2 linked regions of the Tribolium castaneum genome follow. The protein of the gene in region 1 interacts with the protein of each later gene in a pairwise test. Links are inferred from orthologs where the notes say so. Each region holds a gene or a part of one and is shown in the gene's direction. Other genes may lie near its edges. The genes, in order: pll and Pli.

Region 1 (17,566 bases):
TGCCTTTACAAATCTCTAGAGTTGTTAAAAGTCCAAAAAAAGTCCATATGTTCGATTTTTTGATGTTTGATTTTTTCAATTTTCGTCGCAATTTTTGTCGATTTTGGGTACCCGGAACATTTGTTGAGCAATAGCTCCGGAACTATCAGAGATAACCCCATGAAGTTTATTATCGTTGGAAAGCTCTTTGAATTATCTATTTTTTTCAAAAAAAAATATTGTCCTCTGACTAATAGTTTTTGAGCAAATTGCAGATAAATGCAAAAATTGGTAATATTTTAAAAAATTCATAACTAAAAAACCATTGGGAATTTGGCAATTTTTTCGATGCCAATCGATTCCCCGGATCATTTTGCATAGGTGTGGATCAAAACAGTCCCACTTTTTCGAATAGTTTAGTCGTAATTAGAAAAATAAAAAAAATTAAAAAAAAGTTAACACCCCCCCCTACAAAATGGTCAATTTTAAAAGTGTCTCAGAATCGAATAAAACCGATTCGATCTTATAGATTTTGATGTGCTCTTTCCGATCTAAAAAAGCGTTTTCCCCTAGCTCTTTTAGTTTGGCCGTAATCGGCCTTTAAAAATTGAAAAATTTTTGCGAGATATCGCTTTGAGTCCTATTCCATTTTGTAGAGTTTTTTATTCCGGTTATCCTCCATTTTTTCGTTTCTCGATATCTTTAATAGTTTTGCCGTAATTGACGATCGAAAATTGAAAAAAAGTGAAAATGGAAACCTTTTTTTGCGTTTTTCTCGGAAACTGTAAGACTTAGAGCAACGAACAAAAAATCATTTGATAGCGCTTAATTTTCTCTATTTTTTCGATTAAACCCGGAGCCGCTCCGAGTAACGGTACCGGCTACAGAGGCGATCAAAGTTTTTCACTAAAAAGATTTATAAAAAAAAAACTAAAAGTCGTAGAGCAATGCGGTTTGTTCCATTGAATTCAGCGGCTCATTTTCTGTATTATACGAACTTTTCATGAGATTTAAAAAATTTATTTTTTTTTGCTAAAATTTCCTGAGTAATACACATACCTTCAGAAAATAAAAAAATAAAAAAATTTTTTAAATTCGTTTTATCATACTTTTTCGTATTTATATATGCCTTTACAAATCTCTAGAGTTGTTAAAAGTCCAAAAAAAGTCCATATGTTCAATTTTTTGATGTTTGATTTTTTCAATTTTCGTCGCAATTTTTGTCGATTTTAGGTACCCGGAACATTTGTTGAGCAATAGCTCCGGAACTATCAGAGATAACCCCATGAAGTTTATTATTGTTGGAAAGCTCTTTGAATTATCTATTTTTTTCAAAAAAAAATATTGTTCTCCGACTAATAGTTTTTGAGCAAATTGCAGATAAATGCAAAAATTGGTAAAATTTTAAAAAATTCATAACTAAAAAACCATTGGGAATTTGGCAATTTTTTCGATGCCAATCGATTCCCCGGATCATTTTGCATAGGTATGGATCAAAACAGTCCCACTTTTTCGAATAGTTTAGTCGTAATTAGAAAAATAAAAAAAATTAAAAAAAAGTTAACACCCCCCCCTACAAAATGGTCAATTTTAAAAGTGTCTCAGAATCGAATAAAACCGATTCGATCTTATAGATTTTGATGTGCTCTTTCCGATCTAAAAAAGCGTTTTCCCCTAGCTCTTTTAGTTTGGCCGTAATCGGCCTTTAAAAATTGAAAAATTTTTGCGAGATATCGCTTTGAGTCCTATTCCATTTTGTAGAGTTTTTTATTCCGGTTATCCTCCATTTTTTCGTTTCTCGATATCTTTAATAGTTTTGCCGTAATTGACGATCGAAAATTGAAAAAAAGTGAAAATGGAAACCTTTTTTTGCGTTTTTCTCGGAAACTGTAAGACTTAGAGCAACGAACAAAAAATCATTTGATAGCGCTTAATTTTCTCTATTTTTTCGATTAAACCCGGAGCCGCTCCGAGTAACGGTACCGGCTACAGAGGCGATCAAAGTTTTTCACTAAAAAGATTTATAAAAAAAAAACTAAAAGTCGTAGAGCAATGCCGTTTGTTTTATTGAATTCAGCGGCTCATTTTCTGTATTATACGAACTTTTCATGAGATTTAAAAAATTTATTTTTTTTTTGCTAAAATTTCCTGAGTAATACACATACATACCTTCAGAAAATAAAAAAATAAAAAAATTTTTTAAATTCGTTTTATCATACTTTTTCGTATTTATATATGCCTTTACAAATCTCTAGAGTTGTTAAAAGTCCAAAAAAAGTCCATATGTTCGATTTTTTGATGTTTGATTTTTTCAATTTTCGTCGCAATTTTTGTCGATTTTGGGTACCCGGAACATTTGTTGAGCAATAGCTCCGGAACTATCAGAGATAACCCCATGAAGTTTATTATCGTTGGAAAGCTCTTTGAATTATCTATTTTTTTCAAAAAAAATTATTGTTCTCCGACTAATAGTTTTTGAGCAAATTGCAGATAAATGCAAAAATTGGTAATATTTTAAAAAATTCATAACTAAAAAACCATTGGGAATTTGGCAATTTTTTCGATGCCAATCGATTCCCCGGATCATTTTGCATAGGTATGGATCAAAACAGTCCCACTTTTTCGAATAGTTTAGTCGTAATTGGGAAAATAAAAAAAATTAAAAAAAAGTTAACACCCCCCCCTACAAAATGGTCAATTTTAAAAGTGTCTTAGAATCGAATAAAACCAATTCGATCTTATAGATTTTGATGTGCTCTTTCCGATCTAAAAAAGCGTTTTCTCCTAGCTCTTTTAGTTTGGCCGTAATCGGCGTTTGAAAATTGAAAATTTTTTTGCGAGATATCGCCTTGAGTCCTATGCCATTTTGTAGAGTTTTTTATTCCGGTTATCCTACATTATTCCGTTTCTCGATATCTTTAATAGTTTCGCCGTAATTGGCGATCGAAAATTGAAAAAAAGTGAAAATGGAAACGTTTTTTTGCGTTTTTCTCGGAAACTGTAAGACTTAGAGCAACGAACAAAAAATCATTTGATAGCGCTTAATTTTCTCTATTTTTTCGATTAAACCCGGAGCCGCTCCGAGTAACGGTACCGGCTACAGAGGCGATCAAAGTTTTTCACTAAAAAGATTTATAAAAAAAAAACTAAAAGTCGTAGAGCAATGCCGTTTGTTTTATTGAATTCAGCGGCTCATTTTCTGTATTATACGAACTTTTCATGAGATTTAAAAAATTTATTTTTTTTTGCTAAAATTTCCTGAGTAATACACATACCTTCAGAAAATAAAAAAATAAAAAAATTTTTTAAATTCGTTTTATCATACTTTTTCGTATTTATATATGCCTTTACAACTCTCTAGAGTTGTTAAAAGTCCAAAAAAAGTCCATATGTTCGATTTTTTAATGTTTGATTTTTTCAATTTTCGTCGCAATTTTTGTCGATTTTGGGTACCCGGAACATTTGTTGAGCAATAGCTCCGGAACTATCAGAGATAACCCCATGAAGTTTATTATCGTTGGAAAGCTCTTTGAATTATCTATTTTTTTCAAAAAAAATTATTGTTCTCCGACTAATAGTTTTTGAGCAAATTGCAGATAAATGCAAAAATTGGTAAAATTTTAAAAAATTCAGAACTAAAAAACCATTGGGAATTTGGCAATTTTTTCGATGCCAATCGATTCCCCGGATCATTTTGCATAGGTGTGGATCAAAACAGTCCCACTTTTTCGAATAGTTTAGTCGTAATGGGGAAAATAAAAAAAATTAAAAAAAAGTTAACACCCCCCCTACAAAATGGTCAATTTTAAAAGTGTCTCAGAATCGAATAAAACCGATTTTATCTTATAGATTTTGATGTGCTCTTTCCGATCTAAAAAAGCGTTTTCTCCTAGCTCTTTTAGTTTGGCCGTAATCGGCCTTTGAAAATTGAAAATTTTTTGCGAGATATCGCTTTGAGTCCTATGCCATTTTGTAGAGTTTTTTATTCCGGTTATCCTCCATTTTTCCGTTTCTCGATATCTTTAATAGTTTTGCCGTAATTGGCGATCGAAAATTGAAAAAAAGTGAAAATGGAAACCTTTTTTTGCGTTTTTCTCGGAAACTGTAAGACTTAGAGCAACGAACAAAAAATCATTTGATAGCGCTTAATTTTCTCTATTTTTTCGATTAAACCCGGAGCCGCTCCGGGTAACGGTTCCGGCTACAGAGGCGATCAAAGTTTTTCACTAAAAAAATTCATAAAAAAAAAACTAAAAGTCGTAGAGCATTGCGGTTTATTCGATTGAATTCTACGGCTCATTTTACATATTATATCGATTTTTCACAAGAATTAAAAATTTAAAATTTTTTGACTAAATTTAGGGTAGCCATTTGTCATAGTGGAAAATTTTATCCAACAAAAAAATTCATAACTCAAAAACTAAAAGTCGTAGAGCAATGCGGTTTGTTCCATTGAATTCAGCGGCTCATTTTCTGTATTATACGAACTTTTCATGAGATTTAAAAAATTTATTTTTTTTTGCTAAAATTTCCTGAGTAATACACATACCTTCAGAAAATAAAAAAATAAAAAAATTTTTTAAATTCGTTTTATCATACTTTTTCGTATTTATATATGCCTTTACAACTCTCTAGAGTTGTTAAAAGTCCAAAAAAAGTCCATATGTTCGATTTTTTAATGTTTGATTTTTTCAATTTTCGTCGCAATTTTTGTCGATTTTGGGTACCCGGAACATTTGTTGAGCAATAGCTCCGGAACTATCAGAGATAACCCCATGAAGTTTATTATCGTTGGAAAGCTCTTTGAATTATCTATTTTTTTCAAAAAAAATTATTGTTCTCGATAACTCTAATAGTTTCGCCGTAATCGGTAGTCAAAAATTGAAAAAAAGTGAAAATGGAAACCTTTTTTTGCGTTTTTCTCGGAAACTGTAAGACTTAGAGCAACGAACAAAAAACTATCTGATAGCGTTTTCTCTATTTTTGCCGATATCTTCTGAACGATTTTTGCAGATTTGGATTCCGCTACGTTAGAAACACTACGTTACGTTAGAAAAACTTAATCATAAGAAAATTCTCGTGAAAAGTTGGTATAATACAGAAAATGAGCCGCTGAATTCAATGGAACAAACCGCATTGCTCTACGACTTTTAGTTTTCGAGTTATGAATTTTTTTGTTGAATAAAACTTTTCACAAAAAATTTTAAATTTTTAATTTTTGTGAAAAATTGATATAATATGTAAAATGAGCTGTAGAATTCAATGGAACAAACCGCAGTGCTCTACGACTTTTAGTTTTTTTTATGAATTTTATTAGTAAAAATCTTTGATCGCCTCTGTAGCCGGAACCGTTGCCCGGAGCGGCTCCGGGTTTAAACAAAAAAATAGAGAAAATTAAGCGCTATCAGATGATTTTTTGTTCGTTGCTCTAAGTCTTATAGTTTCTGAGAAAAACGCAAAAAAAGGTTTCCATTTTCGCTTTTTTTCAATTTTCAACCGCCAATTACAGCCAAACTATTTGAGTTATCAAAAAAACGAAAAAATCGAGAACAACCGGAATAAAAAGCTCTACAAAATAGCATAAGACTCAAGGCGATATCTCGCAAAAAAAATTTCAATTTTCAAACGCCGATTACGGCCAAACTAAAAGAGCTAGGAGAAAACGCTTTTTTAGATCGGAAAGAGCACATCAAAATCTATAAGATAGAATCGGTTTTATTTGATTTAGAGACACTTTAAAAATTTACCGATTTTAAGGGGGGGTGTTAACTTTTTTTTATTTTTTTTTTATTTTCTCATTTCTGGCTAAACTATTCTAAAAAGTGAAACTATTTTGTTTCATACCTATGCAAAATGATCCGGGGAATCGATTGGCATCAAGAAAATTGCCAAATTCCCAATAGTTTTTTAGTTATGAGTTTTTGAGCATATGATCTAATTTTTGCTTTTATTTGCATTTTCTCGAAAACTATTAGTCGGACAACAATATTTTTTTTTGCAAAAGATAGATAATTTAAAGACCGGCACTCAATAGTTTGACAATATTTTTTTGACAACCACCACCACGAAAATGTCATTTATAAGTGGCAAATTCAAACCGTGGGATTTTAAAGGAAAATTACAAAGTTTGACATGTAGTGATTTAGTGAGAATAATGATTTTTCGAAAATGTTGTTTTTGTGTGCCTTTACGGTGTGGTGCTGCTATGTTACTTGTCCTCCAAATGGCATGTTTGACGCCTTATACGATATACAATCCCACCGCAAAACTAATTTTCATCTCAATAGGAATCATGATCCTTTTGGCAACAGCTGCAGTGATATTTATGTGGGCTATTGTATGGGAAAAACCTAAATATCTTTATGCAACACTTGGATTATCACTGGGATCCATCATTTTTTATTTTGCCACAATAGATTACGACTATTCTTTTAAGACATCAACAACACCCACAACAAAGAAAGAAGGAACTGTTCATTTAATCCTCTTGATTAATAACACCACAGGAATATTAACATATTTTTATTTTATTTTTATGTTATACAATACATATGTTAAGTTACAACATAAAGCTAGAAAAAAACAACAATCTACTGTACTACCACAATAAACCATTTGTTAATGTGTCCGGTTTTGTCTTTTTACCACGGTCGGACTTTGCCTTGAGTTGCGTGAGTTAAAATCCATGTATTTTTCGGGTCTTTAACCATTGACATTTGTTTATGTCTACCGTGAGTTTTACAAAGGACATAAAGACGTTGCTCTCGCATCACAAAATAGCAGTCTTTACAACGTCTATGCAGCTTTCCTTTTACTTTGAAACCACAACACTGTGTTTGGTTGTAATTCACAGCGGCTAAAAGTTTGCTCGGTGATGTTGCAATCGACGGCGTAAATATGTGATAATTCTTGGAAGTTGCAACAACAACAAAGGGGCACTTTCTAATCACATTAATTACATTTCGAATGAGTGGAAACATTTTGTGAAAGATGAGGTTAGAAAACCGCTTAGGGATTTATCATTAGAAAAGTTACTAGGATTGGTGACAGACACTGCTGACTGTCACTGCTTGTCAATGTAACATAACCCAATTTTTTTATTGTTATTTTTTTTAACGATGTTTATTTACGATATGCCGTTTCTCGAACGTAAAAAACTCTGTAGTATTTTGGATCGGAATAATTGCTTTGAGGAATTAGCTGCGGTTCATATGCAATTTGATTCTGAGACGGTCCAAGTGAGTAAATTCGTATTTACTCTAAAGATACCTAATTAGCTTTACCTAATCCATTTTCAGAAAATTAGTCGCGAATTTTTCAGAGGCATTTCCCCAACTGAAAAACTCCTCGACTTATGGAGTCATCACAACCATACCGTTTTTGAATTGTTTATTCTCTTGTATCGAATGAAACATTATCAAGCCATGACAATCCTTAAACCACTTGTCGATTCAAAATATCATCATTTGATTAAACAAAGTACTTGTCTTCCTGAATTAATGGCCGATTTAAAATTAGAACAAGAGCCAATAACAAGTGAAAAAATACTAAACGCTCCAAGTTGTGAAAACAATGAAACAAAGCCCCAAAAACCAAACGGAATCTCGCTTATTTCTTGTGTGACGGAATCTGTGGGAGCTGTTCCTCAAATTCCCTATGATGATTTAAGACAGTCAACAAATGATTGGAACACTGGATCGATTCTGGGTCGTGGAGGCTTTGGGACGGTATTTAAGGGTGTTTGGAAGTGCACTCAAGTTGCTATTAAAAGAATTGAGAAAAAAGCGGATGACAATTCGGATCAAATTTTTCAATCCTATACAGAATTACATTGTTTGAATGCATACAGACACGATAACATTTTGCCACTTTACGGGTACGTATAAACCAATTCAAATTAGACATGAAATATTTATTATTTTTATTCAGGTATAGCATTGACGGACCTCAGCATTGTTTGGTATACCAATACATGTCCGGGGGTTCCCTCGAGCACCGTCTCCACATTCGTGATGCGTCACGTGTCCTTTCATGGCCAACTCGTCTCACAATCGCAATTGGAACCGCTCGAGGTCTTCAATTTCTACACACAATTCGTGACAAACCGCTTATTCATGGCGACATCAAGTCTGCCAACATTCTTCTCGACCTAAACGAAATCCCTAGAATTGGGGATTTTGGTTTAGCTCGTGAAGGGCCACCACAAACCGATTATGTTAAAGTGAGTCGTATTCATGGAACGAGGCCGTATCTTCCTGACGAATTTATGAAATATAAAAAATTTTCGACCAAAGTTGATACTTACAGTTTTGGAGTTGTTTTATTCGAATTGGCGACAGCTGGAGCTGCTTATTCAAATAAAAGGGTGAACAAGTTTTTGAGAGATCATGTCGTGTTTTGGGAAGGTGATGTGTTACAATTGAAAGATTCAAGGGCTGAAGGAGGAGAAGATTTTTTTAAGGGATTAGTGGAAGTTGGAAAAGGGTGTGTGAGGACGGGGGCAAAGGACCGACCGGAAATGGTTACGGTTTTATTGCAATTAGAAGCTGTGATGAATCAATAAATTTTTACATACATTTTTTACAATTGTTTCATTTCTCTAATCAACATTTTCCGTCAATTACTTTTATAATTTACGGCTATTGATAATCGCATTCTACACAAGGTTACAAGGTTATTCATTTCGACTAATTTTATCAGAAAAAAAGCAATGTGACAGTTGATCGGTTTTGTGGACACTACTACAATTCAAGGATTTCTTTATTGTATAATAATTAGTTTTCAAGTTTTCATTAACAAATAAGGTTTGTTAAATCTGCTGTTGGCTTTTAATTTTTGTCATTGCAGAAGAAAACATTTTGAGAGTCACTGGTCGACGACGCCTGGGACGTCTCGCTCTATCAAAGTGGGCAAGACGACGCCCTATTAACGTTACGACCACCACAGTTGTTTTTCCAAAAATATTATGTAGTCATCATAAATCAATTTACATGTAACAAAAAAAATATGGGAGTGCAAACCTTCCATCAAACAATGGATAATCGAATAAAATTGTAGAAATTTTAAGGTGAGTGAGTGTTTGGCAATAAAACAATTACGATTATCGATTTGTTTGTGTTTTTCAGGCTTCCAAGATCACGCGCGCGATTTACAACAAACAGTATTACAAAATTGATAGCAATACGAATAAATAAATTTTTTATAAGAATTTTGTTTAAAGAAAAATATTAAATAATTGTTAAATTTCCAATCAAAATAATGGACAAATGCATGTCACTAGAGTTAGATATTGGATCTTGGCAATATTGTTGTTTTTATATATAGCAGGCGTCTTATTTCTATCAGCGGTCACTCTACATGAACCCAAAAATTTAACACACGGAAAAGTAAGTAAAAATGATAATTATTGGTGTTATTTAATTGTTTTTAGCAAACGGACCGTAATCAGCCCTTTTCCCGTCTAAAAAACTATGAATATGGAATACCAGGACTTAGACCACCTCTTCGTGGTCGTTCCAAAATCCAATGGTGTTCCACAGAGCTGAAATACATCCATCCAGCTATACCACCCGTCGCCTTGGTATCATTTCCGGGAAGCGGAAATACATGGTTACGTTACTTACTTCAACAAGTTTCCGGTTTTTACACCGGTTCGGTTTACAAAGATTACGGTTTGTTGAAAAATGGTTTTCCCGCCGAAAATATCGCCAACGGTTCGGTTCTTGTCGTAAAAACACACGAATGGGGTTACAATGCTCGGAAAATCTTTTCGAAAGCGATTATATTGGTTCGTTCACCGGCAGCTGCGATCCAAGCCGAATTTAACCGACAAAGCGGTGGTCACATTGGATTTGCATCACCCGATAGATACAAACGGACTAAAGGAAAATGTATATTATTTATTGTATTGATAATTTTTTTAATAACTTATACTTTTATCAGATTGGCAACAATTCGTCAATGATAAGCTCGAAGCTTGGAAACAAACCAATCTCGACTGGTTATATAATTTTACAGGACCAACGCACGTAATTTTTTACGAGCAACTTGTCGATAATCTTGAACACACCCTCAAGACGATTATAAATTTTCTCGACATATCAACGGATGAAAATTTATTCAAATGTGCACTTGAACGAAAGGAAGGAATTTATAGGAGGAAACGTCGAGTGCTCAATTTCGATCCATATACGGACGAAATGAAACGAAAACTGGATAAAATACAAAAAAAAGTCTACGAGGCGATTTATAATTTTGCGACGCCGAGTTAACAACAACGTTGTTGCGACAATAAGGCCTTTTTAAAACGAAACGAGTGGCCAAATTTTTCTAGTATCTCTCTTATTCATGTAAACAGTGGCAATCAACACACGATTATAGGCCTAAAATAAAATTATACAAACACAATTTTGCGACTTATTTTCATTGCTCAAATTTGAATTTACATTAATAATAATAAAAGGTTGAGAATCGCTGAACTCGTAAAGTGATTTATCATTTTTCGACGTTGGTAATTCTGTTCCCACTATCATCAATAAATAATCAAGTTTGTAGTGGTAGAAAATTAGTTCGTTTATTTATTTTTCAAGTTTTTTCAATAAACAAAGGTAAGCCCCTTTATCCCGCCAATTTCCAGTAAATGATTATGTTTTTGTCGTACTTTTTACTCGATTTCATCCTCCTAACCTCTAAATGACACATGGCCATTTTGTTTCAGTTTTTTGAAAAGATGCAACAAGAGAACGCCGCCAACGGCCCCCAAAATGATTTAAATGTGGGGGCCGGAGATCAAGTCGAATGTGACAAATCGAAACTTATCGTTAATTACATCCCACAATTCGCAACTGAAGAGGATTTAGCTCTAATTTTCACTCCCATCGGACGAGTGGAAAGTATTAAAATAATGAGAGATTATAATACGGGCTATAGTTTCGGTTTCGGTTTTGTCAAGTATTTCAACGAAGAAGATGCCGCGAAAGCGATTCAAGTTATCAACGGAATGAATTACAAGTAATTGAAAATTTAAGATTAGAACTGTATTTATTACTGTTGCTATTGTCTTGTAGAAACAAACGCCTGAAAGTGTCATATTCGCGTCCTCCAGGTGCCGATATGAAAGCATCCAATTTATACATCACTAACTTACCCAAAGACGTGACTGAGGACGATGTTCACAGACTCTTTTCAAACTATGGAGAAATCATCCAAAAGTCCGTTTTAAAGGACAAAATTACCGGAATGCCACGTGGAGTTGCCTTTGTCCGGTATAATAATGATGATAATAATAATTATTAAAACTTTGTAAATAATAATTTGTTTTTCGTTTAGTTTTTCGCGAGGAGAAGAGGCCAAAGCTGCCATAGCCGACCTTGATGGCAAACTGCTTGAAAACGCAATGCTTCCGTTGAGTGTTCGCGTAGCAGAAGATCACGGCCGTCAAAAAGCTCAATATTTGGAAAATTGGAGTTTTTCAATGCACAACAGGGGTAAGAAACGGAGGTTTTGACTTAATTTTGGCATTTCGGGTGTTTAGGTTTTGTACCACCGTTTCGAGGAGGGACAATGAATCCCTTCAGGAAAATGCCACCACAGCCGCCTGATAATTTACAAAACCGTAATCGCTTCCAAAATTATAATTCGAATAATGTGAGAAATATGGGAGCAGGCGATAATTATCTACAAAATTCGTTTTTTTGTTAATTGCTTCATTTTTTCTTTTTTGTTTCTGACTGAGAATGGTTTTTGTGTTAATTGAAGAGTTGATTTTATTTTACAAAGTTTCTATATTTATTTTTATATTGATAGAAAAGCGTGCCAACTAATTGTATGTTGAACGCTAAATACAATAGACATTTATTTATTTATTATTATATATATTTATATAAAATAGGAAAAAATATGTACGCAATTGATGTGCCTAAGAAAAAACTTAACACCAGCTATGGTTTTTTTTTTCTTTTTGACACACAAAATGTGTTAATTTTTTTCTTAACCAACGATCTGAATAATTTATTGTAATTTATTTCTAGTTTCAAGTGAATAAAATTTTAATTGTTGTTTTCTATATTTTTTCCTTTTATTTAATAAATTACCTACTAGGTTTGGTGTTTCTTCATCTCTGCTTCTTTTGCCCTTTTCACTTGCATTTCTCTTTGTTGTTGTAGCACTTTTTTAAACACATCGTCTTCTTTTTCATTATCAACATCTAATAAAAGAATCAAATCAAATAATAAATTAATCAAACAAGTCCCTACTTTGTTGATATGGAGCCGCCTGTTCTTCACCCTCAGAGTCTTCACTACTGTCATTACCTGGATGTCTTAGAAAAACATCAGACAATTCGGCCCCAGCCGACAACGTAAAACATTGTTCATTATTTTTCGATTTTTCCAATTTTTGTGCTTCTGATTGTTGTTTTATTTTCAACCATTCGCTTCTATATTCACTAAAATAGATATAAATAAATAAATATTCCAGTAACTACAAAATATAGAAATAAAGTTATTACGTTTCGTATAAAATCCTAGCTTCGTCTATTAGTTTATATAAATCTTCAAGTCCTTGTCCTGTGGCAGCGCTTACTCCACAAACTTTTAAATTTCGGTAAAACTCATCCAATGTTAAAGCCATAGACCTCGTCAAATTGCTGATGTAGCTTTCGTCGTCAGCAGCTTCAAGTGCTTGTTGAAACGACTCAAAATCGGTCATCCAATCAACAGCATATGAATGATCAACGATATCAACTTTATTCATAACAACAATGAAAGGAAGACGCGTTTTATACAAAATCGAGCAAGCGTAAAGCATGTTTGACATAAACGTAACAGGAGAAGTACTTCGCACACAATCAACAACGTATAAAATGATTGTTGGTAAAGTTGAAGCCAAAGTTTCGGTAATAATCGAACCCGAAACCGACCAAGTAAACACCTCAATTTGACCAGGAGTATCCAAAATGCACAAATCATGATTCGACTTTTCAATAAAACCAATCACTTCAGAGAATTTCGTTGAAAATAAGTTCAAACTTGTGACGATAGCACCATTAGGGCCTAATTTGTACTGCTTCATAACCTCCTTGTAATTTACCGTATCTCTAATATCTGTAATTTAACATTAAATCCCAAGAAAACTTTGACGCCCGCGAATACTTGCCAATATTAGCGAAATAGGGTAAATTGAAACAAGCAGGGTCCAAATTCACAACGTACGGTTTTTTCGGAGAATTTGATAAGCGAGTAACAAGACAAGTTTTGCCAGAACCGGCCATTCCAAGCACTATTACACTCACGGGAGCTTTGCCCCCCGTTTCGGACATTTTTCATAAAATAAAGTGGAAAAAAAGTTTGGTTAGCTTCATGACATTTGACAGTTGGAACAGAAGCTGTGTATTTAGGTTCAAACAATCTTTGCAAATTTGTGCCTCAAGACAGAAAATTTTTGATTGTATATAATAACTTTTAAATCAATTCATGTAATCGCTTTTGCACTAACTGGATTTAAAAAACCCATAATTTAATTTTTACAAATTCTCCAGTGGCGTACTTTCTGGGGTTCTTTTTTTGAAAATTACATTTAAATCACAAAAATGTTCACTTCCGTTTCGGAATGATGGCATTGACCTATGATACTAATACTTTCATGTAATAATAAGCAATGCAATTATCTGTTTGGCCTTGATTTATGTTTACATCACTGATCTGTAAATGTGTCTCTATCCAACTCCAATCCAAAGTGCTCACGCAGATAAGTTAAAATTTCAAGTTTAGATAATAATTATTATTATCTCAAACACCTGTTTGAAACATTTAATCGAAATTACTTCTAGTCGTGACCATGGAGCTCTTACTCAATTTTTGTTATTACGTAACACTTTTTCTAATTCCGATCTCACTCTACGTTCTTGTATTCCAACATCGGACAAAAAATCGTTTTTACACAAACCGAGGTATTTATTTCTTTCCATAATTAATTATGTATTTACTTGATTAATTTTAGATTGGTTTTATATAATTAAATTCCTAATCGCAAAATCGGCCGTCAAAAAACATCAAAACAAATTCAAAACAAAAATTAACATAACCGAAAGTCCAATAGAAATTCGGACGGAAAATGTAAAACATTAAACTAATCTATTAGATAAGTTAGTATCAATTAATATAATTTTTTTTACAGTACTGTGATAATTATTTTATATATGGAGCAGATCAAAAAGGCAATAGTCTATCGTTACGTTTTATAATTGGGTCAGGTCTAGTAGGCGAGGTTTTTCTTTGTTTACGGCTTTCAACAGGCGCCATCTATACATTTCCTGGTAAACAATAATATTAACATATCTAACTGTAATTCTATTAATAAATAGGTGAAAAAAAGACAAAACAGTATAATCTATCAGATTGGCATTGGAAAACAAAAGACCTCCATTTGGAAATTCTGGAACCATTCAAACGTCACCGAGTGACATTTAATGGATTATTGAGCAACGCCACCAACGATATTGAACATGTCAGATTCAATTTGACGTAAAAATCAAATAAAATTAATTGGTCATATGATTTAAATCATTTTTGTTGCAGTTGGATTGCAACAAATGCTCCCCGTTTTCATCCCCAAGACGCCGCCACTGACTTACTCACCAATGCACTTGCACAGCACCCGTGGCGTGACGGTGATTGGCTATCACTGCTGTAAGAATAACCAATCAGATGCAATGTTATTGAATTTTTATTTTAAGAGGGGATGAATGCGGGTACGAACAATTCGGTGCTTTACACGGATTTATCAGAGGCGACTCGTTTAAAGATGACTTTTTTGTAAATTTACCGTCATGTCGGACAAGGTTTTGGGGTACTGCGGAAAAATTGGCCGTGTCAAAATGCCTTCATTTATTTGTTGCCGGCCATGATGGTACTTTGATTAGTATTTGGGTAAAATCATTGAAACATGGTTGCCATGGGTAAATTCCAAATTTTTATCTCCAGATTTTAGATAATTTAATTTTAGACTACAATATGGTAATGTCGTGATGACTAACGGTACCATTCAACCAATTACAGCAAGCGATATCAGATTTGATTGTTTGGGACAAAATAGCCAACTTCCCGAAACTTTTCTTATACATATTTACGGTAAATAGTAATAAGTTCACATTGTATGAAAAATATATATATTTTTTTTGTAGCATTGAAACAAACTTTCAGAATAGTTTTCCATACAAACACGATTAAAACAATTGTAGACGGGCATGACCTGTCAAATATTCCCGCCGATTGCGATTTAAATACCCAACAAGGTAAATCATTGGTTGAATTATGGCAAGGCGTAAAAAACACATCACGTGACAAACCACTCAAACCACTTTTAATCGAAAATAAAAGCAAAACATTACCAACGTGTTACGTGATCTCACTCGACGACGAATCAGCAAAAATTGTGAATTTGAGCGGAGGTAAAGGTTGTTCATTGGCAATGCTCACATGTTTGAAATCAGATGACGTAATAAAATTTTAAAAAATATGACAGAACCAAACACAATCGTTGCATTTCTAGTTTATTGTTCCTAATGGATTTATTATAACAGTTAATGCTTTCAATAAACAATTAGAAATGAATTTTAATATGAAGAAGGCAGTGTCTATCCTTGATGACATTTGTTGTGGGCGGAGCTTAGGCGATTTGGAGCACGCTTGTGCCCAGTAAGTTTGTACATATTTTAATATTTTTTTTCTCTCACTTATTTCTACTTTCCAGAACAATTAAAACCTTTGAAAGTGAAAAAATAATCCCCGAAGTTGCTTCGGTAATTTTGCAGGCTTTCCGTAATCTCAAGCCCCGCCCCACTGATCGATTTGCTGTCCGTTCGTCGGCAATTGGTGAAGATTCAGAGGATTTATCGGCAGCTGGTCAAAACTCCACCTTTTTGGGATGCTCCACCTTCGCCTCCATCCTTCAGTCAGTCTCCGCCTGTTGGGCGTCACTCTACACCAATCAAAGCGTGCGTTACCGCCATAAACACGGCATAGCTATCCCATCACAAATGGCCGTTGTTGTGCAAAAAATGGTACAAGCAGATTGTGCCGGTGTGTTATTCACTTGCCATCCCTCAACTGGAAACCCCGCCCATATTGTAATAACGGCCAATCATGGCTTGGGTGAAAGTGTGGTTTCGGGGCGGAGCGAACCGGATACAATCATACTTGAACGCACGTTCGATAATGACGTCACTATTCAATCGAAAACTTTAGGTTTGAAGAATAAAATTGTTAAAATGACGACGGATGGAGAGGGCGTGGTCGAATGTGATGGACTGCAAGGTTTTAGTCTGACAGATAATCAGGCGTTAGTTTTGGGGCGAGTGGGAGTGGCATTAGAAGAGAAAATGGGAGGAGCGAGAGATATCGAGTGGGCTTTTTCTCAAGGAAGGTTGTATTTACTTCAAGCTCGACCAATCACAACGCTGAATTTGTGGACCGATTACGAATTGTTACACGAATTTGACGTTGCCACATTGAGCGATGATGTTGTTTACACTGTTGCCAATACTGGAGAGATTTTGCCAGGAGCAATTTCCACTTTAACATTATCGACAGTTGTAAAGGCTATCGATAAGAGTATACAAATATCGGTTGAAGGTCACAGTAATGAATACTCTCTCAAATGTTTAGGGACGTTTCAAGGCCATCTTTTCGTCGATGTTATCACCGGGATACATCGACGTGTCAAAAATAAAATTGAACTGATATCAAAAATTGTCGATTTAGCAATTTTTGGACACCCAATCATCAATGAGAAAATTCATTACTTATCATTAAATCGATTCGGACCCATTGGAAGCTTGGAGCAATTTAAAGAATTGTACACTATGATCAAATTGGCTTGGTGTAATGAAAAGAACGCAAAAATGAGCAAAACAATTAACGAAACGTATCAAGTGGGCATCGATACAACACGCGACACTCTTAAAGATATCTACAACAAAATTGACAAGTCTTTGAATAAAATGGCGGAAGTTTTGCTCCTCCATTGTTACACAACACGAACATCCGTCAGTTATCAAATATTTGCAATGACTGTTCTTGCCGAAAATGCCCAAGATTTCACCATTGACCATTACAATGATATTGCCATGTTGTTGGCATCGTGCGATGAAGTCATTTCTGCGGAAATCCCCAACACTCTTGCCAACATAACTAGAATTTTGAACGAAAATCACCAAAACATGAAATTTGCCGAAATTGATCCGAATTTGGGGCGAAAATGGTTAAAAGACAATTCACCCGAAGCTAGTAAAATCTTTGAGCAATTTATAAAAAATCACGGACATCGAGCTTTGCGAGAGGTGAATACAAAAACTATCTCAATAAAATTTTCTATAAAAATTTTTTAGTTTGATATCTTTAATGAAACATGGGGTACGAATCCGGTCGAAGTGATTAAAATGATACAAACAAATTGTCGAAGTAAAAGTCCGAAACAGGAAAAAACAATTAAACCAATCGATGAAGTCATCGCCGGTTTGGTTTCACCGACAAAAACTTCTACGCGAAAATTTCTCAAGTTTTTGATGAATAAAAGTCGACGTGCTGTC
Region 2 (16,021 bases), on another chromosome or scaffold:
CTTAGTCGGAAGTGCCACAAAACCTGCCAGATTTCGCCTCCACAGAGCAAAATCTGCGAAAATGTTGTGCTCGTCTTTGTTTTGACTTGTCGACGCAAAGTCATGACAAGAATGGATCTTTCCACTCTTTCCTATAATATTCTGCGCGATTCGGTGGTTGTCGTGACTTGTCTTCTGATATTTAGTGGTGACTTTACGGCCGGAAAATGGACGAGAGAAAAATGGAACCGAAGGAAGTTTCCACTGAAGTTTTAGTTAAAGTGTATTGCGAAATTGAGTGGTGTTTTAGTGACTCTGGGGATAATAACATGCTAATTAAGAAAATGAAGTTGTAAGTTTGCCATGTTTTTTGTTGTTTGTTTTTCTTGTATTACTTTCTTCTTGTGACATTGATATTGATAACGATGTGATAAGAATGGTTGACTATGAACTGCCTAAGACTTAATTTTTGAATAGGTAATGTGAGAATTTCACCACTTTGGCCTTGCCTATGATTAGTCAGCTAAATTTTTCAGAATTTTGAAAAAAAGGCCCCAATATTTTTTTCAAATAATAAAATTACCAGCAGCCAAAAAATGAACATGCACAATTTTAATTTTCAGGGTGAGTAAATAGTGCCAATTAACACTTTAGCAAAAACCTTATCAGGGCCTTTACATTTATTTATATTTTCTTTTGAAACCGATCGTTTAAAACAATATCGTATTTCAAACGTGAATTTGATATTTGTTGGCCTTGTTTTGCAAAATTTAGAGAAATTCTATAGACGAAAAATGCTTTAACCCGATAGAAATATTAAAAATAGGGAAAAATACCACATTTCAGAAGCAATTTTGTTCATTTTTGCTTTTATCTTAGTTAAATCTGTGAGTATACGCGAAAAAAGCTCGGATACGGCTCGATTTGTAAACTTCATTATCGTAATAAATTCTCGTCATTCTCGGTAAATAATAACTCTACAGAGTGTTTCTTTTTAGTACTAAATTATCGCTCCTTGGAGCATATTATTAAAAAAAAGATGCCAAAGAAAGACTTTCTTTGGCACCCCTGTAGATTAAAATTATGTCTAGCCGCGATGTTTTTTTGTCACTTTAAAGTGAAATAAAATAGTTTTCACTGGTAACAAGTTTTTCTTGATCTTGATCTAAATCTTCCAAATTTTTATAATGTCTATTGTTACACCCTAAAGTCTGATTAATTTAATTTATTTATTAATTTATTAGTTCAGTAAAATTACAAAGAGAAAATGTATTCCGACACCATGTTGGTAGCGTTGGTACTCCTGAAAGCCGGCCCTGACCATTGCAATTTCCCACCGCCTTTTTTGCATTAGGCCATTTCGCATTTACGCTGACAAGGTGATAATAGATTTGGTCGATGAATCGTCAATAAAGACATTCAAAAATTCGCCAAAATCGTGCACCCCGCCACTGTCGTCTGTCATTTCGCTTTTTCACTTCCGGTCCCAGCAGATGTCAGCACTCGCCCAATGTTTACATCCCACCGTCGACGTCCCCCACGATCGACATCCATCCACCGCGCCATTGTTATCGGTAAAAGTGCGGAGAGTGTCCGTGGAAAAGCATCACCGTGCGTGTTTTTCCCCTTGGAAGTCGTGCTTTCATCGCAAACGGTGCGAAACCTCCGTGAAAGCGTCCGCCAGTGCAACGAAGACGGCCGTGCCTAGTGAATGCGTGTGCCACCAGTGATAAACATGCACGAATCGGCGGCTCTAGTGATGTTTTTAGTGAAGCAACGACACCAGTGATTGATATTTTTATGCGTTTCGAATACGACAATCGCAGCCAAACTGTTTAAGACGGCTTCAGAAATGGTGAAAAGGTGGGTACTGGCACCACGAGGGGACTTCATCACGATTTAATCGCTTCATTATTGATTTTGTGCGATTATTATGACGACAAAGGGCCATCGCGACGCCTGATTGTCACTGGAAATGTCAACGATCGGCGATTTTTTATCGCTGGCTAAAGGGGCGTTCACACGTGTTGTTGACAATAACAAGGGACGAAAGTCCACTTTTCCTAACGGTGTGCCTTAAGACGTGATCGAAAAATTAGACAATTTTGGGTCACATGTGGGTACAGTACCGCTAGGAAGTTTTGGCCATTAGTTGCCGGCCTGGCCAAAATTCTCGGTCACGACTGTACATTTCTAATTACCATTTATCAGTGATCTCATTGGTGTAGTCGTAGCATGTTTTTCATGAATTATACATTACAAATAGCTATTAATGATGCACGTGCTTATTAGCGTGAGTAATTGAGATTTTCATACAAAATTGAGCAAGTTTTTAACCTCGTTTGACGATATTTTGTTTGAGTTTTACAAGAGGAAGTGCTTATCTGTTTCGCAAGATAATAAATATTCCAAGTCGAAGATTAAGGACTGAAAACCAAAGATTAATTCTAGAGGTAGTTGGTCACAAATTGCAAGAAACTGAATGAATCACAACAGAAAAATACCAGTCACTCTTACAAATTGTAGAGTAGTGGAACTGAGAACTAATGCAAAGTCCACAAGCAAATTTTTTTTTTGCATTTTAACCCAAACATTTATATAATTACGTCAAGAATTACTTTATTTTGAGTTCAAAAACTCACTTATTGTGCGAAATTTCCTTCCAACACGGCAAATAATTTCCAACTATGGTCGAAAATACTGAGTTCTGAGTTTTTTGATAAGTGAGAAATTAAGATTTTTCCGAACGTAATCAGTTCGCTTATAAATAAATGCGTGAATGCAAAATTTGAAATTGAATTTTTAAGAAAAGTAATAAACAATTGGTTGTTCCTAAATTGAATCATTACCTCACAGGTCAGTTTTTATCTCAGTTTAAATATTTGTATCGACTGATTTATTTTTCTACAAAAAGATCTTACTTTCTGAGACCTTCAGCAACAATACTATATATAGAAATTTGAAAGAGAATTATAAAATAAAAAAAATAGTTTATTATACAAGTAAAAAAAAGTTGTTCATTATCTGTGAGTGATGGGGAAAGGAATCACGAGCAGACAATGCCAATTTTTTTTGCTCTAGGAAATTTTAACTTTCGGCAAAATATGACCAAAGTATACATTAAAATTGACTTTCGTTTCTCCTTTTTAATAGCGAGAAACTTTTTCTGGTGTCAAAATAACTTTCAGGAGATGTACAGCAATGATAAAAAAACTCCACTGACTTTACTCTGACGTTTCAATTTTTGTTACCATAGTTACACATACGTCAGTGCATTTTTTAGCAACTATACCAACCTAGGGATATGACAGGGTGTTCAAATAAAAATATAAAAAAATATTTCAGTTTTTTGTTTCTTGAATAACTTTAAATGTTGAGATTGCGCCGCCTGTAATTGCAGATACGGGTTAAAAATGTGGAATAATTAACCTGCTACTTGAACTTTGTTTCGCTCCTGGCCATTTGAATTGGTAAAAGCCGTCGTTTCTTGTTTATTTTTTTAGGCATTGACCAACGGTTGGATTATACTTTTTATTCACTTGAGTAATGCGGGCACGCACCACCATTTTTCTCTTTGTTAAATCGATCTTTTATGGAAATTTGCGTCAGAGAATGACTCGGATAAAAGCAACGAAACGTCGATTGTTCCGGTCGTCCTCAAAATTATCAAGACTAGAACAAATATTTTTTTCGCCAACATTGCTTATCGTCAATATTGAACGCGAAAAACCCTAGTTGTGTTAGTCTTTGCAGTGCTGGTAGCATGTGTTGCTTGAAATATCTGTCCGATTCGATATTCATCAAGTATTTATTCCAAGTGTTGTGTGTGTGTGGTGTGCTTGGAGAGCGTGTCCAGATGAACTTTTCCCCTAGTTTCTAACCCGTTTTGTCCCTAGTCCCCGATGAAAATACACGTTAAAAATGCATGTCATTAGTTACGACAGGCTCGCTACGTGAACAAATTCGCATAAATATTTTAATACAGTTTATTAATCTTGACTCACTTTCGCGACCGAAATTGGAGGAATTTTTCAAATTCTTTGTTTAATAACCGTTTCAAGCGCCAATTAGTCAATGACGTCCAAAGGTAATTTCTATCATCGGGCGAGAGCATTGCACGCGATAATGATCAAAACAATGATGAAGGTTTTATATCTTTATTTTTGGCACGATAACGCGCTGCGTCGTCTTTTTTTGTTGTTGCTTTATTGTGTTATTACGATTCAAGGAAACGGAACAAATTTGAATAAAAACGGTCACAAATAAATAATTCATCCAATAATTTCGAAAATGTTTACCCGCCACAACAATTTTCATTTTTTTCGATTATTTTACACACAGCTACTCGATTTTTTGAACATATGCCGCACGTAATACGGGGCCCCGGGCAGTACAACCTTTTCCTCTTCGTTCTTTCGTTGTTATAAACCGTTGGCCGCGCTATTGTCCGACTTACGTACGTAAAAATGTAAAAGTGGATTTTCCGTGTTCCATTAATGAGCAATCGATTTTTGGATAATTGCCAAATAAGTTTTGCGTTTTTTCATTTGGTTAATTTCCTTTATCGGTGTTATGGTCATTAACGAAAGAGGTTAGTAATAAACCTTCGAATTTGTGCCTCGACGGGTGAAAGGTTTTTCAAATCATGATTCGGAGTTGTTTCCTCGGGTCAACAAAACGACCCGCAACCATGCACTCAACGAGATTATAATTGAAGTAACGTTTCTCATCGAATGCAAATTAGAAACTGTAACACCGCGTATACCAAGCTTATACAATGTCGTAATGTTTATTATTTTAATAAAAACAAACGCAAGTTCTCTTGTTAGCGGCTAAGTTATTGCAACACGCTTTATTTTTTTAAACAATGGGTACCAGAAACGACCGTTCTTCGACAAGTGTGTGTGTAATTCCATTAATGTCGGAGAGAGGACAAAAGCTTGTTTATCATTTCGACAACTATGTCTCTGTTTCTCGCTAATTAGAAGGGAAATGGATTTTTTTCAAAGATACAGAAAAGCCTTCGAAATTTTCCTAAAAATGCAACAACAAAGTTTTTTGTTTAGGTATCTTCACTATAACAGATTATAGATTCACTTGTTTGGGTAAAATATAATTCTTGTCAACGTATATTTCGTGACCTTCACCCAGTAAACACATTCCAATGAGTATTTAATTATAATTTGTTAATAATTTAATTATCATATCGTTTACAAGTCTGCTTTCGATAAAACCGTATTTAGAGCGCTTCAAGAATGTCTGTAAAATATTAACACGTTATTCAAGAATAAGAATTAACTTGGAACATGCTCGTCTTAGAAATTAGTTGAAAATGTATACTATAATTTTTTTTTTAAAATACAGTGAGATTCAAAAGAGTGGAATAATCTCTCAGGTGATAAAGGACAAACTGAATTTAAAAAATTTTGATTGGATTACGAGTTATTTATTTTGATTGACAATTCGGAAATAAAATTAACTAGACGCCCTCTGGTGATGACTTTTGAACTATGTCGAAAACAGTAAAGAAATTTTCGTAATGCCACATTTAACTGACATTTAATGAATTGTTCAACAATTTTGCGTGTATAGTGTTAATTACTTACAACAGAAAGGATTACTTTAAAAGTACGTGGTGGTAAATACTAGCGTTGACTTTGGTTCTGTAGTTTTTCGTGGTATAAAGTGTTTATTGTTGGAACTTGAAAGTGGATAAAAAGTGAAAAATATTTAAATTTTGATTACAAAGTGTTATCAAACAGTTGTCTAATTAAAGATTATAAGTAATGGATCACAGCGAACACAAAGTTTGGCTCAAGATACCAATAAATTAGTGAAGTGCTATGAATTTTAGGTTAGAATTTTCCAATGAAAAAATCATGAAATGCTGCGGTAAATCTACAAAACTACAATAAAGATTAACAACTGCTGATACATTTAAACGTAAATTATGCCAAAAGGTAGGCTTTTCAATGTCTTTGTAATAATTTTCCAATAAAGAAAGTGAACCAAACAGTCATTCGTTATTCGTGTTTTCCTCGTCATCTCTCATTTGTCAACATAAGTTTCTTGCATCAAAGATGCAATAATCATTCCGCATAGGCAATTTAATAATTGTGAAGCCCCAAAATTCGTACAACGCTCAAAATATCCGAATAAACATTAATTTTATTTTTCCCGCCATTTATGGTTACTGTTTTCGACCTAGCTCAGTGGCGCCTCCAACGGTAATTTTACTTCCGAATTATAAGCGTCAAAAAAATGCCAATGTTTGTCATGTCATGTCATGACGTAAACATGGATAAAATTCCATTTTATCGTCAAGTTGGAATGAAGCAAATTATCACCGTTTTGATTTTTTTTGGTTTTTTGTAATTAATTGGAACAATTTGGGAGCAGGTGAAATGTGAGAAGCCAGGAAACTTGCGACCTTTTTCCACTTGACAGGTGATTAGCCAATCAAGTAAACTAAATGATCAGTGGGCGGAAAATCGAAAACTGCGGATTTTCCCCGGAAAATATGCGACGAACGTGGCCGACATTCCTGCGTTAATAATACATTTTCTCCGGTCCGTTTGTAATTAAAGGGTCAGTGGAATGAATATATTTCTACCAAGTTTAGACAACGGTCCATTAGTTTGTCGACCACGCATCGTCCGTGGGGTAATTACCGGTTCACTCAACCCGAAAAAATAATTCTCTTGTCCAAATAAATACGTACGCATTGTTGTTGATTTGATATCAGATGCAGGTGTTTGCATCTCTTTGTAAACTAAAGTCGGAGCAGGAAACGGTTTCAGCATTCAGAATGCACAGTTAGAAAATGAAAATAAAAGTCGATGCCTGCTTTCAGGAAATATCTCTTCGGTTCCAGATCGTTGCTGTTGCTGCTTTTAATAGAGCGTCTTATGTAAGACGTGATCCTGGTCAGTCGGGGATTTTATACGTGTATTTATGTGAGGAGTCGCGTCCTATTTACGGTCTATTAACATCGGGAAGGGTCGATAACCGACTATCTCCTTCGAAAACACACACAAAACTTGAAAAAAATCGTACTGTGTGGGGATAGGCTACGAATTTTTTTTTGAGGTTGGTCATTGACAGGTGAAGTTTCGGTCGATTAATTAAAAACTTGTTCCTCTGTCTACGGCTCCGAGACAAGTCTGCAGCAAGTTGGTTCTTGTCGTCTCAGAATTATTTGATTTAATGTCGGAGAGAATAATTTTTACATTTGAACAAAAAAAACACTTCCAAGTTCTTGCGCCATGAGGTTACTCGGCTATCAATCAGAAACGAAACAAATCAAACGAAATGAAAACCTGAGTTACGCTCTTGCAAAACTATGGGACCGAATCTCCGATTGAAAAACTAGCAAAAATCGCCTGTTTTTTGACTCAGCTACGCCACTGCGTCAGCTACCACCTCGTACCACTCAAGAAAACGGATCGGAATTTACTTGAAACAAGTCGGGGAGTTACCATAGTTCCAAGCATGCAACGGCAATAAAACCGGCGAAAATTCCTATAATTACGTCGGAATCGGTGTTAATTACGGTTTTTTCGTTTCGTCGGACTCAACTTTCAACTCTAGTTGTATTGATGCGGCCTTAAATCCGGCATCAATCATTCGGCGAAGACATATCGCATATCTTATTGGAAGAAAGCGGTCGATATGGGGAGGATGTTCCGGACGAATTATTAATAAAACGGGTCAAAGTTGCACACGAATGGCACCCCTGCGTGCACACTTTGTACGTGGGAATTTATTTATTGTCAAGCTTCTTCCTTGACCTGTTGGTGAACATAATTATAATCACGAAAGTAGCCAACTTTCTTGCTCAAACAATGTGTTTTTTTATAGATCGGATGGCACCGAGTCTCCAATATTAGAAGAACAAGAGAGTGCCAACTCAGAGAAACCAAAACAACTCGTCAAATATGGAGAACTAGTCATTTTAGGGTAAGTGTAAGGTTTCGATTTGATGATCCGATTAGAAAGAAAAGTCTCGTGTGACATTTATAGGGGTTCTGCAATTGCCTATATTCACCTCTAAACATTCGATTAAGTGCAGTATGGTTCCAGTAACACGTTTAATCAGCGCTTATTTAGAGAAACCGTGCGTTTTTCCTTCCTTTTTAATTATACAAATACATGAGTGTGGACGTGATCATTTGCCTGTCACCGTGAACCACTTTCTTGCGGTTTTGTGTTGAAAAAAGTGTGTTGGCCTTGTGTGGTAAAAACGCGAGACGTCCCTTCCGTTTTGTCTGCAATACTCATTCCAAGTTATTATCTTATCCGCAGTAGAATTTTTGTTGAAACACATTGTAAAATAATTGCTAAACCACAAGTTCACTGTACGGGTTCATTGTTACATTTGTTTGGCAGCTAAGAATAAAATTAAAAAACCATTTTTTTCATTTTCGTTGTCCCGCTTCTACTTTTGTTAAAAATAAGTAAATAAATGCTATTTTCTAGTAGTTAGCCTTTTAAGTAATAAGCTGCTACAGTGCAAAACAGTTTTTGTTTAGATCATTAATTGTTTTGTTTTTTGAAACATTTTTATTATTTTACTTGAATAAAAGTGAAAAAAAGCAAGCATCCTGAGTTTAATTAAATTTATTACCAAATTATGATTATGATGAGACAGAATAGGATTTGTAATAAAATTTGATTAATTTCAGTTACGTGATTTTTTTGTACTCTGAATGGTGGTCTAATCTTATATCTGATTTATTTTCATTATTTAATACGAGAACCTACTTAAAATAGAAAAAAAATTGTTTCACCTCTTTACACATTTAAGATTTTATATCGCATCTTATTGATTATTTTTATTTGAAATACATAGTAAAATAGTGAAAAAAAGTATTAATAGTTTTTAGTTTTTCCATATTTTTTATAATTTCCCTTATATATTTTTTTTTCGTTTTCTTTTTCCTACATACAGTTTGATTTTTGTCTACGAAACATCTATCTGAACGATTAATTAGTTATACGTAATAGAAAGTTTTGGCTCTTCTTTTCTTACCTCGATAAAATAAACCCAAACGAGGTAAATTTATTGCAGTTATTAAAAAAGTTTAAAATTGTCATTTAGTGTAATTAATCAGTGCTTTGTTTAAACTTTCTAATTCATAAAATAAAATAATACACGAAATTATTTTTATCTCGCACTTTCCAATTTATTTATTAATTTACTGAGAAAACATTACTTTGATTTTAATTCGGTTTTAATTTGGCAATCTTGACTTTTAAATTAAAACTTAATATAATTCCGTTTTGCAAATATATTGTTTAGCATTTTTTGCAATATTTTACATACTTTTGCCACTAGACGAAAAAAATGTGGATTTTGGTATTTTTCGTAGAATAATTCTAAAATGTTTGAAGCGCTTTTGAAAATAAATTTCAGCCCGGATTGTTAAATATTTTGAGTAAAATGTTTACACACTTGTAGGTTTCCTCATTCCACGCACCTAACCTGCTTATTTTGGCTCATCTGCACGCTTATAAATATTTCCCTTTGATTCATTTACTTTCGGAGTGATTTTTTTTCACCTTGACATTCTTTCTGTCTTTAGATACAACGGTTTTCTACCTCAGGGCGACCGAGGCAGACGACGTAGCAAATTCGTATTGTACAAACGACCAACAGCGAACGGAGTCAAGAGATCGAAACACTATGTCGTCAAAACGCCCCATTCGTCTCAGGCCATCCTGGACGCAAACCAGCACTCGATATCCTACACACTTTCACGCAACCATGCCGTCATAGTGGAATACACCCCCGACGATGACACCGACATGTTTCAAGTAATTGAGCGTTTTTTGCATTTTAGAGTGTTGCCAATTTTTTTCTTTAGATCGGTCGTTCGTCGGAAGCCCCCATCGACTTCGTGGTCATGGACACCGTCCCCGGGGACAAGACTGGCGAAACCAAGGTGATGCAAAGCACGATATCGCGATTTGCGTGTCGGATTTTATGCGATAGGAAGAATCCGAAAATTGCGAGGATATACGCCGCCGGTTTTGACACCTCCAAAAACATATTTCTCGGGGTATTTTAACAATGATTAAATGGAAAAAAATAGTGTGATGTTTTTTTTTTTGCAGGAGAAAGCAACGAAATGGCAGGAAAACGGGCGCGAAATCGACGGTTTGACCACGAATGGTGTGTTAATTATGCATCCAAGAGGGACGTTTTGTGGGGGAGATGCCAAGTGTAGTTATTGGTTGGAGACGTCTGTTGGTGGAGGTGTGTTTTCGTTGAGGGAGTCAAGGTCGGCCCAACAGAAGGGCCAAGTGGTGGAAAACGAGACGAATATTTTGGAAGATGGGACTTTGATCGATTTGTGCGGGGCTACGCTGTTGTGGAGGTCGGCAGAGGGGCTCACAAAATCGCCGGTAATAGACCAGTTAAATAATCATCACTAAGATACTTGTTTTGAATCCCTAATCGTCTAACAAAAAATGTTTTTTAATTATTTTGCAAAAAATCACAAGCAGGTATTTTGAAGTTTAATTTTTGAAAAAAATAAAATAAATTGCCTTTTATATCTAAACGAGCCGCCCATGTGGGTGGGTTCCTAAAGTTGCCATAGAAATGCGCTGCAATATGTCTGTAACTGTGGTAACAAACAGTTGCCACGGTAAAAACCGCCACAATAACAATAGAAAATCAGCTCAGTGGCGGGTAAAACAATTTGTTTTTCGTCTAATTTTCAGAGCAAACGCGACCTGGAGCGCGAAATCGACGAAATCAACGCCGGTCGCCCGCAGTGCCCCGTTGGCTTGAACACTTTAGTCATTCCCCGAAAAGTCACACCGAACGAAAACCTGCAACAGCCTTACGTTTATCTCAACTGCGGACACGTCCAAGGCTTGCACGATTGGGGCCAAGACAAGGATTCGGGCGCCCGAAAGTGCCCCATTTGCCTAGAAGTAACCGATTTTCCAATTTAGTTGCGAAATTTCTGACGTATTTTTTTAGTTGGGACCGGTTGTGAAGGTCTTTATGGGGCTCGAGCCGGCGTTTTATGTCGATTCGGGGCCCCCGACGTTCGCGTTCAACCCGTGCGGGCACATGGCCACCGAAAAGACCGTCAAGTGAGTTTATTATTATTATTATTTTTTGATTGGGTTAATGTACGTTTATTGCAGGTACTGGGCAAATGTGGCTATTCCGCATGGTACGAATGGGTTTCACGCCGTGTGCCCCTTTTGCGCTTCGCCCCTGGCGGGGTCTCCGGGGTACGTCCGCCTAATTTTCCAGGATAATGTGGATTGAAAGGAATGTAGAGTAGTCCACCAAAGCTTTATTTATGTTTTTGCTCTTTTATTTAATGTATAATTGGTTTTTAGCAGTCTCATTTATTAATTTTTTGGAAATTACCCAATTGTAATTACTTGTAATTATTGTATATAATTGCACTTGAAGATGGGAGCGAGCCGAGAATTGCAGTTGTATCATATCATGATTTTTTTAATGGAAATTGCGGTTTATTACAGTGCAAATGCGTGAATCGTTAAGACTGGTTAGGATTTAGCTTATAATGTAATAAGTATTTAATATAAATCGACCTGTTAATGCAATGTTTTATTCAAAAAAAATATTTTTACATACTTAATTGACCCAGATTTTTTGATTTTATCGTGATAACAGGCTGTCTCAAAATTGGCGAATTTTAGTTCAGAGCTTTGTAGAGAATTGCTTCAATAGTCCAAATATAGAAAAAAAAATTAAGATTCTGGGTTTCAACCAATGTCTCTGCGGGGAAGTCCCAAATCTTCATTTTGTTTTTACATTGGGACTACTGAAGGGATTCTCTACAACGCTTTGAACTCGGAATTCGTTAATTTTGAGACACCCTGTAAGTTTCTCCGTTAGTCACTTTTTGTATATACTAGACGATAAGTTGCCGTAGTTAATATTTAAGCTACTATAGTCCCACGAAATGAATTTATCTGTGCCTGGATTCACTAAAAAAAGTTTAAAAATTGAACTATTTGTTGTTATTTATAACCCCACAAACATGTTTAACAATAACATATTACAAAATATTACCCCAAGGACTCGAATTTGTTACGAAAGTTTAATAAGAGTCCGAGTGTTTAACAGCATTTCGTCGCCGTTTTTTTACGATTTAACTTCGTAATTTTACATTAAACGTTTTTGTGAGCCAATTTTAATAATTTTTGCGATCTAGGCGGCTGTGAATTTCGTATTAAGGAAATTTGCCATCGTTGGGGTCATTGAACCCAAAAATTACGACCAAAAGACACACATTTTCACTAAATCCATATTAGTTTCACTCATAATGTCTTTGATAAAAATTGAAAAAAAAATTGTCTTAGAAGTTAACCATTACCACAGCCATTACTAACCAAATTTTGTACTTACTTGAAAAACACCGAAGCCGCCGTTTTTCTCAAGACTAACCACTCCACACCGAAACACTCAGTCTTTTCACATTTTTCTGTAAATATTTGTCCAAAATACACGCATTAACACCTTTTCTTCGAATTAAATTGTGGAAAATGCGACCACCATTAAATTTGACCCACCGCCAATTGTTTCATTACCAACATTAATACAATTAAATCACTAGATGTCACAGCGCCTAAATCAAACTTTTGAATTTTCAATTGCAAAATACTCCGATACTATCGCCCGTTATTTCCAAGTTTTCCTTACCTCAATTTGTAAAAAAAACACCAGACTCAGTCATTTGCTTTAATTTCACTAAAATCTACAATATATACAAACAGTCTTAAAATAATGGTACCCTTACATTAACTGTAATTATGTAAACATGATTTGAAGTAAAAATAAATACTTTGATAATTTTTCAACACCCTAATTCGGAAACAAAATTAACTAGAAGCCCTCTGGTGATGACTTTTGAACTATGTCGAAAACAGTAAAGAAATTTTCGTAATGCCACATTTAACTGACATTTAATGAATTGTTCAACAATTTTGCGTGTATAGTGTTAATTACTTACAATAGAAAGAATTACTTTAAAAGTACGTGGTGGTAAATACTAGCGTTGACTTTGGTTCTGTAGTTTTTCGTGGTATAAAGTGTTTATTGTTGGAACTTGAAAGTGGATAAAAAGTGAAAAATATTTAAATTTTGATTACAAAGTGTTATCAAACAGTTGTCTAATTAAAGATTATAAGTAATGGATCACAGCGAACACAAAGTTTGGCTCAAGAAACCAATAAATTAGTGAAGTGTTATGAATTTTAGGTTAGAATTTTCCACTGAAAAAATCATGAAATGCTGCGGTAAATCTACAAAACTACAATAAAGATTAACAACTGCTGATACATTTAAACGTAAATTATGCCAAAAGGTAGGCTTTTCAATGTCTTTGTAATAATTTTCCAATAAAGAAAGTGAACCAAACAGTCATTCGTTATTCGTGTTTTCCTCGTCATCTCTCATTTGTCAACATAAGTTTCTTGCATCAAAGATGAAATAATCATTCCGCATAGGCAATGTAATAATTGTGAAGCCCCAAAATTCGTACAACGCTCAAAATATCCGAATAAACATTTTCCCGCCATTTATGGTTACTGTTTTCGACCTAGCTCAGTGGCGCCCCCAACGGTAATTTTACTTCCGAATACATGATAAAGGAACATACAATTATGCCACTACAACAATTTTTAAGTGTCGATTACACTAAAAAAGACACTAACCCATCAGTGTTAACCCAGCTAACTAAAATATCGTGACAAACAAAAATTAATTCCAATTTTACATAATCAAAGATCAGACAACAGAAACCCCTGGAAGCCAGCCACTGTGACTAAGATATTGCGTAACAACATCTTTAACACTAACTTCAGACGAATTTTTATCAATTTCAACGGTACGGTGTCGATTCGGAGACAAGAGATTTTCCTATTAAAAAAAAACAATTAAACCCAATCAAACAAACAAATCAAACAACTAACCTGAATAATAAGCGATTTCAGTGTGGTGTATTGGACGGGTTGCAAATTTAAAGTCTTGCAAAGCTGAAAATTTCCAATAAAAAATAAACCCGGGGAAAACCGACTTTACCTGTATTTCATGTTGGGACAATAAGGATCCTAACGGTAAGGCATTAGGTGACGGCGGTCTTACATTATCCGAGTTCGAGTTGTTTTGCTCTTCGGACCACGTGAATTTTTTTTCGGATAAATTTTGGTTTTCTTCGCTTTTTCTATTAAAAATTTAAACAAAACGACAATTTGCCAAAATCGTAACACGCACAAAAACCTTACCCGTTTTTTGACTGCACCTCCGGAACTGATATTTGATAGCCACTGCTGCCCTAAGTGAAATGCAAACTGATACAATCTGTTTCTGTTTACATATTTGTTTCGTTTGAGTCTAGCCTGCACACAAACCAAACCATGATGGTATGAACAAATGACGAAATGAAGCAATATATTCGTGCATCACGTTAGTTTTGTGCATTCGAAGTATGAATTAGTAATACATGACACATTCGCGCTGCATCCACGCAACAATTATTATTTAACCACAACAAGCACAGCCCCCTTAGCGTACAGGGTTGAAAATGTACCGGGTGTTTCAGATTTAAACCTATGAAAACAATTTAAAGAGCCAAAAAATGGCTAGTTATTCAAATTAGTTTTAAATACGGTTTTAATCTACGAGGAATGTCAAAAAACAGTGTTTTTACGTAAATTAGTTAAAAGTTTATAATATATATATTATAAATAGGAATTAATTAATTATTATTTTCAAAAAAGTTACAAGGGTGCGAATACCAACCTGAAACACCCAGTATACTGATAGTTCGTAAGAACGAAGAAGGCTGTGACATCAAATCTTGCAATATTTTAGCACAATCAAGCGATACTTACAGACTTGCTCTGTTTCATTTGTTGTTGTTTCTGATACGCCATGTGTTGTTCTTGATGTATCACTTCCTCTTGTGTTGTTAAACCTAAACTTCTATATCTATACAATTCGGATAAACGGTGACGTAACTCTTTCTCTCTTTCAAGGTTATTGATTAGTTGTTCATGTTCGTTTGATGTTAAAAACTGACTAAAGACTTTCATGTTTTCCCTAAGTTCTCTAAATTGGAACAAACATTAAATAAGTTTTGGTCACGGGTTGCTTGATGAACGAAGGAAGTTTTTCGTCACCATAGTTACGAAAGTAAACTAAAGATTTTAACACCATGGTAACTGACAAACTTCCTTCATTGTCAAGAAAACTAGATTGATACCTTTGCTCTTTTGTTAGAGGTCTCTTATTTGAATCTTTTCTTTGGTTTGAGAAAAATTTTGCAACCAATTGGTAGTCGCGAACGATTCGTTTTCGTTTCGCTCTTTCTCTTAATCTCCTAGTGTACATATCAACCATTGATAATTTTAGCGCTACTTCGACTTCGGTGTCTTCAGCTGTGTCTAATTGTAAAGTTGAAACCAGTTGTTCAGCTGGCATATCATATTCCTACATTAAGCAATTGATTAATTAATATAAATGATTAATTATTGATTGTAATACCCGTTCAAAATCGTCCCTATGTGGTTTATACCCTAACAATTGAGCTTCTTCTAGAGTTATATCTAAAGGTGGCAACCTTGCAATCACTGCAGGCGATAATGGTCCATTATCTTCAGGTACATGATCAATCAACATCGGTTGACGGTCTCTCGATTCAGCCCAAGTGGCTTTTCCAATATTACCGTCCAAATAACGCGAAATATATTCATCTCTCACTTCTACAAAAAAAATTCCTTAATTTTCACAGAATTCCCCCATAAAAAAATACCTTCAGGGGTCCGTGTTTCAACATGTTGGCTCACCAACTCCCAATTCCCAAACCCATACAACTCCACAGCATCCAACAATTGCAATTCCTCACCTCCAGTCCAATTCCCCTTTCCCCCAAAAATACTAACCGACCAGTGTTCCTACACCAAATTAATTTTAAAAACGATTTCTGGTGTGGCAACAGCAACTTACCACAAATTTATACGCATGATCGTTTTTATGCGTCCCGAT

Evidence for each region.
Region 2: the proteins of pll (region 1) and Pli interact in a two-hybrid assay, tested with the Drosophila melanogaster proteins (2 studies listed by BioGRID). The link is inferred for Tribolium castaneum from reciprocal best matches to the Drosophila melanogaster genes pll and Pli.

What each region holds. Positions count from the first base shown.
Region 1 is NC_087401.1:17,591,093-17,608,658, reverse strand, and holds pll (serine/threonine-protein kinase pelle), read left to right. Parts: upstream 1-6,027; 5' UTR 6,028-6,205; intron 6,206-6,266; 5' UTR 6,267-7,097; coding exon 7,098-7,217; intron 7,218-7,277; coding exon 7,278-7,855; intron 7,856-7,908; coding exon 7,909-8,542; 3' UTR 8,543-8,565; downstream 8,566-17,566. Other genes in the region: WSCD family member AGAP003962, read left to right, coding at 9,246-9,365, 9,410-9,869, 9,922-10,250; Sxl (sex lethal), read left to right, coding at 10,709-10,989, 11,046-11,243, 11,308-11,465, 11,513-11,679; GPN-loop GTPase 1, read right to left, coding at 12,075-12,184, 12,234-12,424, 12,488-13,082, 13,135-13,297; rifampicin phosphotransferase-like, read left to right, coding at 13,816-13,927, 13,978-14,093, 14,155-14,293, 14,342-14,501, 14,556-14,666, 14,714-14,935, 14,983-15,107, 15,161-15,474 and 3 more. UniProt on the Drosophila melanogaster protein: Plays an essential role in the Tl receptor signaling pathway that establishes embryonic dorsoventral polarity; the signal directs import of dl into ventral and ventrolateral nuclei, thereby establishing dorsoventral polarity.
Region 2 is NC_087396.1:20,932,002-20,948,022, reverse strand, and holds the end of Pli (protein pellino), read left to right. Parts: 5' UTR 1-206; coding exon 207-331; intron 332-1,461; exon of another isoform or gene 1,462-1,831; coding exon of another isoform or gene 1,832-1,842; intron 1,843-3,700; exon of another isoform or gene 3,701-3,742; coding exon of another isoform or gene 3,743-3,783; intron 3,784-7,839; coding exon 7,840-7,938; intron 7,939-9,563; coding exon 9,564-9,795; intron 9,796-9,845; coding exon 9,846-10,040; intron 10,041-10,095; coding exon 10,096-10,386; intron 10,387-10,707; coding exon 10,708-10,923; intron 10,924-10,972; coding exon 10,973-11,088; intron 11,089-11,142; coding exon 11,143-11,269; 3' UTR 11,270-11,984; downstream 11,985-16,021. Other genes in the region: Ada2b (transcriptional adapter 2B), read right to left, coding at 13,763-13,894, 13,948-14,010, 14,057-14,198, 14,260-14,309, 14,869-15,085, 15,240-15,466, 15,521-15,738, 15,789-15,930 and 1 more. UniProt on the Drosophila melanogaster protein: Scaffold protein involved in the Toll signaling pathway via its interaction with pelle/pll kinase.